2 linked regions of the Tamandua tetradactyla genome follow. The protein of the gene in region 1 purifies or fractionates together with the protein of each later gene. This does not show direct contact. Links are inferred from orthologs where the notes say so. Each region holds a gene or a part of one and is shown in the gene's direction. Other genes may lie near its edges.

Region 1 (7,654 bases):
GAAAAGCCATGTTTTAATCAAAATCCCATTTCATAAAGGTAGAATAATCCCTATTCAACACTGGATGTTTGAAACTATAATCAGATCATCTCCCTGGATGATGTGATTTAGTCAAGAGTGGTTGTTAAGCTCGATTAGGTGACAACATGTCTCCACCCATTTGGGTGGGTCTTGATTGGTTTATTGGAATCCTATAAAAGAGGAAACGTTTTGGAGAATGGGAGATTCAGAGAGAGCCAGAGAAGAATGACATAGCCACGAGAGCCCACAAGCCTGTGACATTTGGAGATGAAGAAGGAAAACGTCTCCCAGGGAGCTTCATGAAACAGGAAGCCAGCAGAGAAAGCTAGCAGATGATGCCTTGCTTGCCATGTGCCCTTCCAGCTGAGAGAGAAACCATGACTGTGTTCACCATGTGCCTTCTCGGATGAGAGAGAGACCCTGAACTTCATTGGCCCTCTTGAACCAAGGTATCTTTCCCTGGATACCTTTGATTGGACATTTCCATAGACTTGTTTTAACTGGGACATTTTCTCAGCCTTAGAACTGTAAAATAGAAACTTCTTAAATTCTCCTTTTTAAAAGCCATGCTTTTTCTGATATATTGCATTCCAGCAACTAGGAAACTAGAATAAGGCCTTTGCTGGAATTTCATCACAGCTCACCTTCTCCCTCTGCCCAATCCTGCTTCTTCTCCTTCCCTTCCATAAAATGTTGATCCCAAGCACACTCCCTAATAAGCATTCTACATCCCAATCTCCATCTTTTAGCCTGGTACCCAGGAAACCCAACCTGAGAGAGTGTTAAATAAGTCTTACACTATAAAATTATCTGGCACATGGCAGATGGTATATAATTATTTGTTAAACAAACAAAAATAATTCAGTGGGAGAAAATAGAATGAAAATACAAGTTCAAGAAGAAAAAAACTGAATAATGTAAACTTTCTGATAATCAAAGAATAGCTTACTCATACATTTTTAAAATGAATGATAGTGGAAATCAACAAATACAATGGTACTTAAATTATTCCTGATACATTTAAAGAGTGGTATAACTATTAATTTAATTTAATTAATTAATTTAAATATTAAAAATTTCATATGTAAACATATTATGACAAATATTAGACGGAATACTAAAAATGTAAGAAAAAGTGCAATTATTTACAAAATTTATTTGGGAATATGCTAGAAAACTTTTGAAGATCACTATTATGGTATCTCAGAATTTCTCGTCCTCGATGTTTGTAAAAATATTACTGCCTTAGCGTCCCAGGACTGCTATTAAAAATAAGTCAATGGGCTGGCTTAAACAAGTATTTATTATTATTTATTTTATTAGTTTTTCAGGCTAGAAGTCCAAAATCGAGATGTCAGCAAGGTCATGATTTCTTCCCAGAGTCTATAGCGTTCTGGGGCTGGTTTGCCACAATCACTAGATTTCCTCAGCTTCCATCTCTGCTTCAGTCACAGGGCAATCTCTCTCTTACTGCATCTGTTCTTCTGGTTTCTGCTGACTTCTGGCTTCTTCCTTTGGCTTTCTCTGACTAACTGCATCTGAATTTCCTCTTTTTATAAGCTTCCAATAATATGGATTAAGGACAACCCCCACCCCAACCCAATTCAATTTGGCCACAATTTAATAATAATATCCTCAAAAGTTCCTTTTTACAGTGGAACACCCTTAGGAACACAGATTAAGATTAAGAATATGTGTTTTACTGGGGTACATAATTTCATCTACCACAATTACCATGTAACATATTTACAGGGCTTTGATTTTGGTTTGATGCCTACTCAGACTCCACCTAAGAAAAAAACTTGCTCTCAGGTTTAGACTGATTTTGCGTATGTGGAAGTAAAGGTAGCTGGGATTAGTCAACCACAGACTTCACAGAACGTCCCAGTAACTGCAGTTCTTCAACTACTATCCTTTACTGGTTTAAAACTACAACAACCCCCCCTACTCCATAAAATAAATGAAGGGGCTTAAAAAGGACAACATCTTAAGAACTCAACAGTTTAATAAATAAATAAATAAATAAAACACTGGGGCTTAACTACAGCAACTCTGATATCTATTACAATATATGTGTTTATAAAGGTAACCAATGTAATCTGAGACCTTTCACTCATTAAATAGTTCTCATTTTGGTTCATGTTTTGTTGTTTTGTTCTGCCATTTCCTAGACAGCAGGAAAAAGAAAAGGAAGTAGATGGTAAACAGCTTCCTTTTTAAGGGATATGATACAGAAATTCTCACAACTTATTGTTCACAACTTTTTGACAGAGTCATGTTTAGCCAGATGGGAGGCCAAGAAAAGTAGCTTCTAGCTGGGTCACCAAGTGCCCTGCCTAAACCTGGAGGTAAAGGAAAAGAATGGAAACTGGGGATGTAGAGTATATATTCCAGAAGGAGATGACAGGTAAATGCAAGTAAAAAGGTGAATATGTATGTGAAATTGTGATGAATGCTTTTCAGAAAATTAAGGGAGAGGGACAGAGGAGTTAACTTATATATAATCAGTGACAACTAAACAGATTTAAATGAAGTGAGAGTGTGAGTCATGCAGATTTCTAGTGGAAGAGCATTCCAGTAGAGGGAGCAGCTAGTGCAGAAGCCCTGAGACAAGAGTACACTTGCCATGCTCAAGAAATAGTAGTCATAGGGACAGAAGGAGAACAAAGGAGAATGGTGACAGAGAAGTAAGTGTAGAAAATATTTCAAGAGAGAAGTGGTCAAGAGTGTCAAAACCTACAAGGGTGAAACCTTGGCCAATGGAATTGATAGTGTGGAAGACATTGGTGACTTTGACAAGGGCAGTTTTGTGGAGCAGTGTAAATGAAAGCTTGAGGAGAGTGAGTTCAAGAGAGATAGGAAGTGGCATTAAAGAGAAGAAGTCTGATCTCCTTTGAGGAGAAAAATGGGAGTGACTTGAAAATGTTTATATTTTAAAGGGAAAGAACCAGTAGAAATGAAGAGATTGAAGACACATAGAAGAGGAGAAAATTGATGGCTAAAGGTCTCAGAAGAGCAGAAATATATGGGGTTCCTACTCTTCCTCGGTCAGCTAGAAGAAGGTAAGAATGGGAGTGAATGAAGATGTTGGAGGAGGGAAAGAGGAAGCAGTATGGGGCTGTGGGAATTCCTATCTAATCGTCAATTTTATTTGTGAAGTAGAAGGCAAAGTCATCTGAGTTTGACGGTAAAGGTTTTGCTCAGGCATGTATGTAGGAGGAGTGGGTAAGGAGGAGTCTTGTATTGATCTGAGTCTTGTATTGTGTGGAGGTTTGGGGCCAGGGCCAAACTATTGAGAGGATTGGCAAGAAAGTGTTGGAGGTGATAACTCCTATGATATTTCCCTTCAATACAGCACCTTCTTCTGCCCTCGCTCCTCCAATGGCAGCAGTGAAAAGGAACCTCAGACCTCCACAGGCAATACTCTCCCCTAATTCATCATTTCTCACCAAAACCATCTGCCTTGAAGATCATCAGAACTAAGTTCATTATGTGTTTACATCAATCACCAAGATGAGCCAAAGGCCATCCACTGTTAAGTATGAACAAACAGGTAAAAATTGTAGACATCTGAAGAAAACCTCTGTGTTGGTCTTGTAACACCTATGGATGCACCAGTATCTGTTAACCAGAACCTGGTCACCATTCAGGACTCCTTTTTTTCCCTCAGTTACTCAGTCATCAAGCCTTTGTTCATTCTGCTTTCTAAATATTTAATTCTCTTCATCCCAGCTAGTTTGGGCCACCATCATTTCTCATTTGCATACTTATCCTTTCCCTCTCCTTGTCGGCTATAACCCCATTCCCATCCAAACTGATTAAATCATACTTGCTTGGTTTAAAACCTTTAATAGCTCCACCACTGCCCTCAGGAAAAAGTCCATCTAAACTCCCTAAACTAGTTTCCAAACATCTTCCTGATGCAGCATCTTAATTTTTCTCCATTTCACCACTTCCGCTACTCACTCTAACCTCAGAACATTCTGTCCTGCTTCTCAATTGCTATATCTTCAGGCTCAGCACTTGCTCTTCCTCCTGCTAAAAAACTCTTCTCTCCATCTCCCTCTGCCCTCGTCCTTTCCTGGCTGATCCCATATTTACCCTTCATTTCTTTGCCTAGTGGTGCCTCGAGGAAGCTTTCCTGAATCCCCAACACTGAGGGGCGCTCTTCCGGTGCAGCATTGTGCCAGCCCTATTCAGGCGCCACTCAAATAGTCAGTTTTCTGCAGGGACCATGTCTATTTTTGTTCACTCCAGTACCCCTAGCATTTCCTAACAGTACAGAACAGACGCCCAAGACACGCTAGTGGAATGAATGAACGAGTTGACCAAGTGTTGAATCAAATACCTTGGACTTTCAACTACATCGCCCACAATAAATTTCTAATAAAAACTAAAATTTGTTGAACGTGCTTAAGTGTGTGAGTTGATTTTGAAATCGATAAAAAGGGGCTCTGGGGTGCAATCCAAGTCCAAGACTCCCAGTTTCCACCGGCGGGCTCTACGGGCGGGACAGGGCCTGCAGGGAAGGCAGGGGCGCTCGGCCAGAAGGCGGGGCCTCCCAGGCAGCGGCTCCGCCCCGCCTAAGGGCGGGGCGATTCCCTGGGCGAGGGTGGGGCGGGACTCGTGCGTCGAGAACCCACCTTCCGAGGCCCAGGCGTGGTTGGCGCGGCCTCGAGATGCGGCTTTGGTCTCGTGAACCCTGGCCGTGTGGCCCCGGTTACTAGCCGCGCCGCCGCCATCTTGCCCGCGTGCCGGCTCCCGCGGCGGGAGGGGCGGCGACCAGCCCGGAAGTGGCTGTGCAGCGGCCCCGCTGCCACCTCAGGTCAGTGAGTGCGGCCCGGGCCACTTGTCCGCGCTTCCAGCGGTGAGGCCGGGGGCGAAGGCTCGGGAGCTCCGGCCGCCGTGACGGGCTTGGATAAACCCATTTGAACGGTGCGGGCGCTTGAGCTCCGGGGATTTGCGTTCCCCTCTGCGGGATAACCACGCTGGGCCTCAGGGGGCCGGGGGCTGCGAGCGGCCAGAGGGCGCGCGGGGACCTCCTCGGGGGCGCGGCGGGCTGCACTTCAGCCTGCGCCTCGGCGGGTTTGTTCAGAACCGCGTCGCCGCCTTTGACTAGAGACTGAGCCAGGTGTCTGGAGCGTGGGAGTCTCCTCAGAGTGTTGGTTTACCCGGAATATTAACAAGCCCTGCTCCAGTGTACACTATTAAATACTTCTTAAAGGGCCTACCACCCGGGCATTTAGCTCTGATCTCTTCAAATACGAGTAATTAAAATTTCTTAAGATGACGAGTAAAGCCAGTCGCGTATGCCATGGGCATTGCTACATTTCTTAACAAATGACTGCAGTTGCAGGCCTTTTGTATAATTACATTTTAAGGGAAAATTTGAATTTGTATAGTGCAGATCCATGAAGCTGGTGGGGGTGGGAATTTGAAACTTGCTGTTGTAATATGCCGTGGTAAGAAAGAAAGAAGAAAAAAAGGATGTGAAAGGTTGATTGGCTAACTTTGTTCGCTTAGTATTATAGATCGTCACTGTCCAATTAGCCACGTGGGGCTGAGAGAGTTTGCAGTGTAAAATACACATTGGATTTCCAAGTCTTGGTACAAAAAAAATAGAAATTCTCAATAATGTTTATGTTGATTAAATGCTGAAAGGATAATATGTTTTATATATTGGGTTAAATAAAATATATGTTTTAAATGAATTGTATCTATTTTTGCTTTATTTGATGTGGCTGCTAGCAAGTTTTAAATTATACGACTCTCACTGTTTTAGTTGCACAATGCTGTAGTAGATGTTCTGATGATGACCATGGAATCGGCATGGCTTTCTTTTGCTCAGAAACTGTTGATGGGAAGTGAACACTCGTTAAACTTTGAAGGTGAAAGTATAAAAATATAAGCCCTATTTTAGGTGAACTCCACTTCCTCAACCTCCAAGTTTTCAATGTCTTTAAAATTTGAACACATTAACTTCTGTGATAACATCTGTGTGATGTGAAGAGCTCATTTCATTGTTGTGACTACTTAAAAATGTAAGTAGGAAAGGTTGATTCTATCAGTTCGTGTCTTGGAATTTAGGGGTCTTGTCAAAGTTTTAGTTTCAGAGTAACTAGAGGTCTTCTCATTACAGGTTCAATTTTCTTTGTTCTACACTGAATTCCTAGCTGTCTTCATTCATGAATGAAGATTCATCTATGTTGTGTGTTGGATTGTGAAGAAATGCCTGTGTTAAGAGGGTCATTATAGAAGCACTTCTTTATACCATGTCAGCTTCGTGGTGCGCAACCTGGACAGCCTCATAGGGTTCCACCCTTAGAAGGGAATCGTGCTTGATTTAATGCTCTGCTTTTGGCATGTTGAAATACTTAATAGTCTTCCAGCAAGGGGTCCCTGCATTTTCATTTTTACTGGGCTTGGCACATTATATAGCTGATTCTGTCTCTGATGTGTAAGAGCCAAAATATGCTGGTCTTCACCCTATTCCTACATGAACCGAGGGTGTGCCAATCTCTCCCTCTCAAGTTCTGTTTTGTACAGGTTACTATTATCAAATTTGGTTGATGGTAATATCGTAAGTATATAACGTCAGAAGAAATTCTGGTGATTCTCCATTGAGAGTCATGTAAATTAAATAGTTTTAAAAATTACAGTGACACTTTCTGTTTGTGTTTTGTAAGAGGAGATTTTTCCATGGCATCAAGTTTTCATACCGCATTTTTTTAAACTTTTTTTTTTTAATTGGAGAAGTTGTAGGTTAACAGAAAAATCATACCGAGAGTCTCCATTTAACCCCCCTCATGCACAGTTTTCTCTATTAACATTTTACATTAATGTGGCACCTTTGTTACAGTTGATGAAACAATATTGTAATTATACTATTTACCACAATCTATAGTTCACCTTAGTGTTCACATTAGTGTTCACTGTTTGTGTTATATGGTTTTATGGCTTTTTTTAATTTTTTATTCGGGGAATATATTACAACCCAAAATTTTCCCTTATAACCACGTTCAAAATGTATAATTTAGTGATGTTAAATACATTCACAATATTGTACTACCATCATGACCAAACATTACCAAAATTTTTCCATACTCCCATCCAGAAACGCTTTACTGATTAAGCATGACTTCCCCATTCCCAGCTCCCACCCCGACCCTGGTAACCTGCACTGTAGTTTAAAAATTCCATAAATTTGCTTATTCTAGGTATTTCATTTAAGCTAAATCATATACTATTTGTACATCTGTTTCTAGCTTATTTCACTCGACATGACGTGTTCAAGGTTCGTCCTTGTTATACCATGAACCAGAATTTCATTCCTTTTTACAACTATCTAATGTTCCACTATAATGGATAAACATACCATATTTTGTTTAATCATTCATCTGCTGATGGACACTTGTGTTGCTTCCATCTTTTGGCAATTGTGAATAATGCTGCTTTGAACATCAGTGTGAAAAGATATCTTAGAGTACCTGCATTCAATTCTTGGGGTATATACCTAGAAGTGGAATTGCTGAATCATATGGTATTTCTAAACTTAACTTTCTGAGGATCCACCAGACTATTTTCCACAGCGGCTGCATTATTTTACATTCCTACCAACAATGAATGACTCTTC
Region 2 (7,401 bases), on another chromosome or scaffold:
GGTCAGGAGCGTTATTCCGGGTACGGCCCGCAGGGGCGTCTGGAAATGGGATGTATAGTGAGGGCCTCTAGGAATGGAATGGAAGGACACCAGAGCAAAAAGAGAAGTTGTTCTTTCTGGAAATGTGAGGCTCCCTGGACTTGGAGCTTGGGCTAGGGTTCTAGTTTCCACTCAGTGGCCATCTTGCTGGGTGACCTTGGACAAATTCTTTCCTCTCTCGGATCTCTGACTTCCTGCCTGTTTCATGAGAGAATTGGTCAAATTAGTGGGAAGTGCATTCATACCGTGAAGTCTTAGGAGTCGGGTCTCTGCTGGCGCAGAGGAGCAACCATATGCTTTTTATACTTGGCCATCTCATGGCCTCTTCTCAGGACTTCTAGGGCGGTGGCATGGGACCTGGCGATCCTATAAACTCAAAAAGGTTTGGGGCAGCCCTCAAGCCACACCTTTTTTTCCAGCCCGTTTCTGGCTGAGCTGTAGCAGATCCAGACTGCAGGGGGCGCTGATGGCCCATTCAGCCGACAAACAATCCATCAGGAATTCAGTGAGTTACTCAAGAGCATCCAGTTGGTCAGTTTTCCTGTTTTATTTATTAGGAGAGCTGTGCTTTGTCAAAGCTGAAGGTTTCTGTCCTCGGAATGCAGTCAAAGCAACGGAATTACGTACTTTTCCAACACCAGTTCTCCCTGCGGTGGCTCTTAAGGGTTGGGAGTAATTTCAATTCCTTTGTTTTAGGGATATGAGATCAGATTCTAAGAAAAAAAATTCACCTTGGGTCAGACAGCTGAAAACTAGCATTCGAATTTCCTGATTCCTGGGCTATCCCTTTCTGTTCCATTTTACCCAGGAGACAGTTGGCTCTGTTTCCAAGAACTTGTGGTAGTCCTGCCCCCTAACGCACAACTCCAGTTGTGAAGGACAGTTCCAGTTGTGGTTGTCTCAGGATCCAGCAGCCTAATGAAGGAAGGCCCTTCCTCAGCACCTAGCACAATGCCTACTTAAAGAATAATTAAATGAAGGAGTCAGTTTAATACCCACAAGGGGTGGGTCTCCTTTGGCTTTATCAAACCAGTTGAGATTGGGCTTTTTTCCCCCCAGGTCTCCTCCAGGGCAGGAATTGTATTTTGAGATGGAGGTAAGAGGGGCATGGGGAGGAAGAAACAATGTGAAGAACTCAGAAGATGGCTTCTGGGGTGATAAATCACAGTCCCAGGAGTGGTCGGAGTACAGGTTATATAGTAAAGTGATCTCAGAATATGGGATTAGAAAATTAACCTAGGAAGAATGAATACAGACTAGGTGAGAATTCCATTAGGGTCATAATATGAGAAAGGGCCTGAAGCTGAGGAAAACTCAGAAACATTTCAAATCCAATCTCGATGTATCTTCAGAACTGAAATATTGAGGAATAAAAAAGCTCCAGCCAATCAGTGGCTTCAGCATGGATGATGCAAGAGAGTATGGCAACAGGAAGAGATACTGACTGAACCAAAACCTTGAGGTGGTGGGGGAGAGGGGAAGTATGTCCAGCTGGTGTCACTGCGCCATGCCCCACTGGGTTGGAAGCTTCACGGCCGGATTTCTAGAGCCCGGCACAAAGCCTGGTACACACTAGATGGTCAATACATATTGACTGAATGAGAGAGGGAGGGAAGGAGCCCAGCACTGACTAGCAGGTTTGTCCTGAGTGGAGCTGGTTCAATGATTCATCTTTTCATCCATTCCGTTTGCTCAGATTTCAGTAGCCCTGGCCACCTGTGGATGATAACCTGGCTTTTCATGGAGACTATCCTACAAGGAGGGATGTGTTGGCCCTTCAATTATAGGTGACTTAACAGTTATGTTTTCCAATTAATACTTTGGAATTCTGACTTAAGCATCAGTTCCTTGTGCCAGCCTGCTTCTTACACATTCCCTTCCTTCTCTCATCAGTGGCACGGTGGAGTTTCTGTTTTGGATTCATTCCTGCCTGGGTTTGAATCCTTGCTCAACCTAGAACTAAGCTATCTGAACTTGGCCAATATACTTCTTGAGCCTCAGTTTCCTCATCTGTTAAACAGAGACATAATGTCTACCTCATGAGGTTGTGGTGAGAGTAACGTAAGACAACAGATGCATCCTGAGGTGACAACAAATATATCCTCAACCACTGTTGAACACTGCAAATGTTAGTTCCTGTGTTTTCTGATTTTTTTCCTTGGATACTGGGTTACAAAAGAGCATCCAATTTATAATAGTGGTATCTCTTGCTTATTCTTCTTCTAAAATCACTAATTTTGTAAGCAAAGCCTTGGGAATGGTTTAGTCACTTTCTTGAAGATTCTGAAGTGTTCCTCTACAGAGGAGAGTACCTCAGATACATTCATTCAAAAATGTACTAAGGATCGGCTCTGTCCTAGTGGTGGGTACAGAAACAATTAGACAGTCCTGTCTTAAAGGAGTTCTAATGGCAACCTGGCCCAGTCAAAATAATATATTTTGTGATCTTGGACAAGCAGTTTTATCTTTCTGAGATCATTTCCTCACATTGGAAAACTGGTCAATAACATATTTCATTGTTAGTTGGGGAGGAAGAAATGACATGCAAATATAATAATGAAGCTGCATCAAGTTTGGGGAGCAGTGGTATAGAAGTAGAAAGGTCACGTTGAAGAAGCTGATGAGTAGGAGAGATTGCTTTCTGCTGGGCTGAAAAAAAGCAATGTTTTCTGGAGGAAGTGGCATTTGGAAGCCTTCTTTCATGCCACAGAGAATAAAAACAGTGAATGCTGGGTAGCATTTCAAAGGGCATAGATTTGCAGAAAGAACCATTGGAAGAAAGACTTGAAAGTCAAACAAGGAACATGGGTGTGATAGGTGATGAGACTGAAAAGGTAAATTGAGGCAGGTCTTGGCAGGTCTTGAATCCAATCTGGGCGTTTGACCTTTATTCTGTAACTGATGAGACACCACTAGAGCTTTTTCATCTGGACACTGATATTACAGAGTAATTGTTTCAAATAAAAGCAGAAATCTGAAACAGTGCTTTAGATGGGAATTTAATTCAAAGGAAGATTCATTTAACAAGGCCATATTGTTGGCGGGATATCACACAAGGTGGCATAGGTCAGGAGACAACGATGTCAAGATGTGGACCCTGCCCTCCAGAAGCTTATAATCAAAAGGGTCATATAAGACATGTACACAAGATAGAGTGTGCTGTTATAATACAGACCCAGGCCAAGTACCTTGGGAGCTGAAGGGAGAGTGAGATTAATTTCCTTTCTCAAAAGGCTGGAGGCAGGAGACCGAGTCAGAGGCTCATCTTTGGAATTGTAATCCTACACTTAGAGAGTCTCAGAGGGGACCTTGGCGGTTGTATAGTCCATCTCTGCCACTGCCAGGATCCCTCTCCATAGTAAACAATGACTTAAAAAAAAACTGAAACAAAAGAAGAACTCTGAAGAAAAACTGTGAAGGAAAAGGCTCTGTGAGAAGGGGGAGGGGAAGATGAATTCAGCTTCAAGCTGCTGAGGTGCTGATAATGGTGATTTCCTCCCCAAAGGAGGGTTGAAGGCCAGAGAGTGTATGAAATTAGGGACGAAGGGTATGTCTGGAGCGCAGAGGGATAAAAACAGAAACTTGGGGGAACACCCACGTTGCAGGGAGTGAGAGGAGAAAGAGGAGTCAGAGAAGGAGTGGCCAGAGTGAGGTGAGAAAAGAGACAGCACAACACCTTGTCACAAAGTTTCGAGAAGGGGGTTGGGCAAGGCTGGAAGACAGGACCTGAGGTCCCAAGGGAGCAGAAAGGAGGAAACTGCAGCAATACAGGTTGAGGTTAGAATAGACATGAGGTGGCCAGTGCCATTTCAGTGAATGAAGGGTTCCCCAGAACCTCCACAAATAGGTTGCATTCCCAGTGTCTGGTACATTTAAAGGCGGAGTTCTCCGCGAGGCCAAGGAGAACAGGGCTGTGCCCTCTGATCTCCAAAGATCTGGGGTTCCACTCTATATAATTAACACCTCTGGATACAGCAAGGCCGAACTTCTCATCCTCACCCGCCCCTCCAGGAACTGAAAAGCTGAAGCACACATTTGGGAGGGACTTAACACCGGCTCTCCGGCCGAGACCGGTGAACTCGCGTTTCATCACGTAGCTTTAATGACTCTCTGGGCTGTCACTCTTGCCGGGCATTGCCTGCACTCTGACTAACCCCTCTTGCAAAAGTTTGCAGCATTGGTCTGGGCCAGACTACAGCTCCCAGAGTTCCCGGGAACTTCCCGATGCCAATTGGCCGAGCAGGGGACTCCAGCGGGAGGTGTTGCTCCCGCCTCCCCGGGAAACAGACATCTGATTGGCTGCGGTGCGGGCTTTTGTGTCCCCGCCCTCCCCCGGGGACCGCAGCGGGCTGAGCGGGTCTGCTGGTGTCAGGGCCGGGCGAGCGCTGGCAGTTCCGCGGCGGGGATGCTGAGAAGCGCTGGGTTCGCGAGCAGCCCTGGCCACTGCGGACTTCCGAGGCGCTCCGCACGGTGAGAACCCTCGCGCCGCGGCCAATCGTAGGCTCCTGCGGCCATTCACCGTTCCAGAAGAGGGGCTGAGTGAGAGTCCAGCGCAGCAGCGGCCGTTCCCGGTTTCTGGGCTTTCGGAGAGTTCTGGAATCGCGAGAGGCACAGGGTTCTAGAAACCCGCCCGCAGCCCCGGGTCCCGGCTTCCCGCTGTGCATCCGTCCAACGCCCCCTCCGGGTGCCCGGGTCGTCTGCGAGCCGCGGCTCCGTCCTGGCGCACACTATGATCGTCGCGGACTCCGAGTGCAGCGCTGAGCTCAAGGGCTACCTGCCGTTCACCCGGGGCGGCGGCGGCGCCGGGGCCGAAGAGGTAAGCGGCGGCTGGGCGACACCACTCTTCGCAGGCACCCGGAGCGGCGTCGGAGCCTCGGGCCGTCCGGAGCGGAGTCAGTGCGCCCCTCGGGCTTGGGGAGGGGGAGTGAAGTGCGTAACCTGGGTGTGGGGTTGCATCAACCGGCAGCCTCGGCCTTCTCCGCCCCCTTCCCCTCCCCCTCCCCCTCCCCCCCAGAGGTGTGAAGCCTCCAAGGCTCCCTCGGACCCTTGGCCAAGGAGAAGGGGGCCTTCTCGAGGTTCTCGGGTTAGGGCGATTGTCGAGAGCGCCTTCAAGTCCAGGCAAATCCCGGCCGGCGCGGCCCGACCACTCCTCCTCCCCGCCTCCTTCCGCAGATTCCCTTCCTCCTGGCCGGGGCAGGCCGGCTGGGCACTCTTTCTAGGATATGTCCGCGCTCCAGTTCCCGAGCGCCGGTAACTGGGCGTCTGGGACTGGCCAGCGAAGGCCGACAGGGTCTCCTGCTATTCCCCGCTCCCTACCCCGCCCCCTCTATCTCGCCCCAGTTGGAGGGGGTGGGCGGCGCGCTCCAAGAGGTGGGGCCCGCGGGCGCTCCGGGGGCTTGGCCGGCTGCCCGACCCGCGGCGGCGGCGGCCCGAGCTGGGGAGAGAGGGACTTGGGTGGGGGGAACTCTGGTCGCGGCTCCCGAACCCAAGTGCTATTAGACTGCGTTCTAGTAAGTGGTCTGAGGTCCTAAAAGTTTGTTTCTCGCAGAATCGATCTCCCCTTAGCCACCAGGCAGAGCCTGAAGGGACTTTGCTGTGAGGCTAGGATAAAGACTGGGCCTCCTCCCACCCCTCTGCGATGCAGAACGTTTTATCATTTATTAAGCACCTACGAGATGCCGGGCTCCGGCTCTTGCCTGCGTTTTCTCTGAGTCTTCAGAACTAAGCAAGCAAAATAGGAGCTGTACTATAGCCCCATTTTACCGAATGAGGAAATTGAGGCCCAGGAGGGATTTAAGGAGAAGCTTTAAGGAGAAACTTCTCGATAATCTCACCCAGTAGCTCTTTCTTTGGCCTGGGTGGCTCCAGGATTTTGGTGTGCTTGGGCGCTTCAAGGAAATTTGCTTGCCTCTCTTGTTGGGAGTTAGAGAGTGCTAGTCCTGAGCTCTGTGACCCGGGAAAATCTCTGACCTTCTCTGAGCAACCTGGTGTCTTGGTCCTAACTTCAACAGTGGATGGTTTATGTTCTAGGTTTTCTGTTAGCTCGAGTTTAACTCCTTCCTCACCCTGATTTAGGGGCTCCCTATGGAGGAATGACTCCAGCTTCTGCTACTCTTAGCCTTGTTGTTACTTTGACCAATTTGCTTTACACCCTGAGTCTATCTCCTTCTTTGTGAAAAATGGGAATAGTATTATTGAGAGTTCCTGGACACTAGAGTGGAAGAGAGTTGGGTTCATGCCCCATCTCTCTCCCACTCACCAACTTTGTGACTTTGACCAAGTGAGAGGTCACCTCTCTGATCCACAACTTCCTCCCTTGGGGGGCTTGATAATCTCTGAGGGATTCTCTGGCGAATTAACTGGGAAGACAAGCAAAATCACACCACAATGCTGGAACATGGTAACTGCATCAAACATGCTAGCTATGGTTAGAATGTGACCAAACCCACTGGGAACGTGGCTCACACTTCCCTTTCTCCAGATGGTCTCACAAGGGTGCGCCCTCAGCCCTCCCTTCCTGTCTGAGGTGAGAATTGGTTTATCCTTCTCTGGGAAGTGGTCTGGGGAGAAGAGAGTATCTCAGATAGTTGAGACAGACTCTTGAGTGAGTGCTCTTTAGATGGAAGCCCCCTGTCAGCAGTGGAGAGACTGGTGGTGTATAGGGTGTTTCTGTGTATTCTCTCTTGTGAAAAGAGGTCTTTGGGAAGGAGTGTCTGCTTAAGTGGGAATCCTTAGAAGACAGAAGGGAACTGGCTGATCTTACAGAACCCTATGCTTGAAGCCCCATGGAAGACCCAGATGTGCAGCCCCCTCATTTCCCTAACTTTTCAGCACAGGCCCTGCGAGAGGTTCAAGGCCTTCAGGTGTACATATCTCTGGAAAATCCTTAATACTTCACTCTGTTGGTGTTTTTAGAGCGTTTTGGGGCTCTAGAAACACTTCCTCAAATATCACTTCCTCAAGAAAGCCTTTCTTCCCTCACCAGATAAGTCCCCTGCTCCCAAGTGCCCTTCTTCATTGTGGAAGATTTTATCCCAATTATAGTGAAACTTTTGAGTAACTAGGTGTTTCTTGTCTGTCTCCTCTACTCACTGGAAGTGCCCAGGGGCAGGGACCCCACCCTACAGGTCCCATTCCTGTCTGAGCACTGTACTTAGCACTTAGTAAGTGTCCATAGCTATTTGTCCCTTGTTGACTTAGCTGACCCTTGTGAATCTGTGCAGGCTTTGAAATCTTATCTGAGCTTGTGCCCTTGTGGGACTGAACCTTTCAGAACCCCTGAGACCTCTAAAGAGAGGATAACAAGACCTGTTTTCAGAGGTGCTTGTGAAGAATCAGCAAGATCGAATGTGTAAAGCACTT

What was found.
Region 2: the proteins of MIOS (region 1) and SESN2 purify together in Homo sapiens (affinity purification with western blotting; 5 studies listed by BioGRID and IntAct, with this or other methods). This does not show direct contact. The link is inferred for Tamandua tetradactyla from reciprocal best matches to the Homo sapiens genes MIOS and SESN2.

The regions. Positions count from the first base shown.
Region 1 is NC_135327.1:117,444,124-117,451,777, reverse strand, and holds the start of MIOS (GATOR2 complex protein MIOS), read left to right. Parts: upstream 1-4,643; 5' UTR 4,644-4,846; exon of another isoform or gene 4,847-4,956; intron 4,957-7,654. UniProt on the Homo sapiens protein: As a component of the GATOR2 complex, functions as an activator of the amino acid-sensing branch of the mTORC1 signaling pathway. The GATOR2 complex indirectly activates mTORC1 through the inhibition of the GATOR1 subcomplex.
Region 2 is NC_135328.1:197,945,978-197,953,378, reverse strand, and holds the start of SESN2 (sestrin-2), read left to right. Parts: upstream 1-4,395; 5' UTR 4,396-4,768; coding exon 4,769-4,855; intron 4,856-7,401. UniProt on the Homo sapiens protein: Functions as an intracellular leucine sensor that negatively regulates the mTORC1 signaling pathway through the GATOR complex. In absence of leucine, binds the GATOR subcomplex GATOR2 and prevents mTORC1 signaling.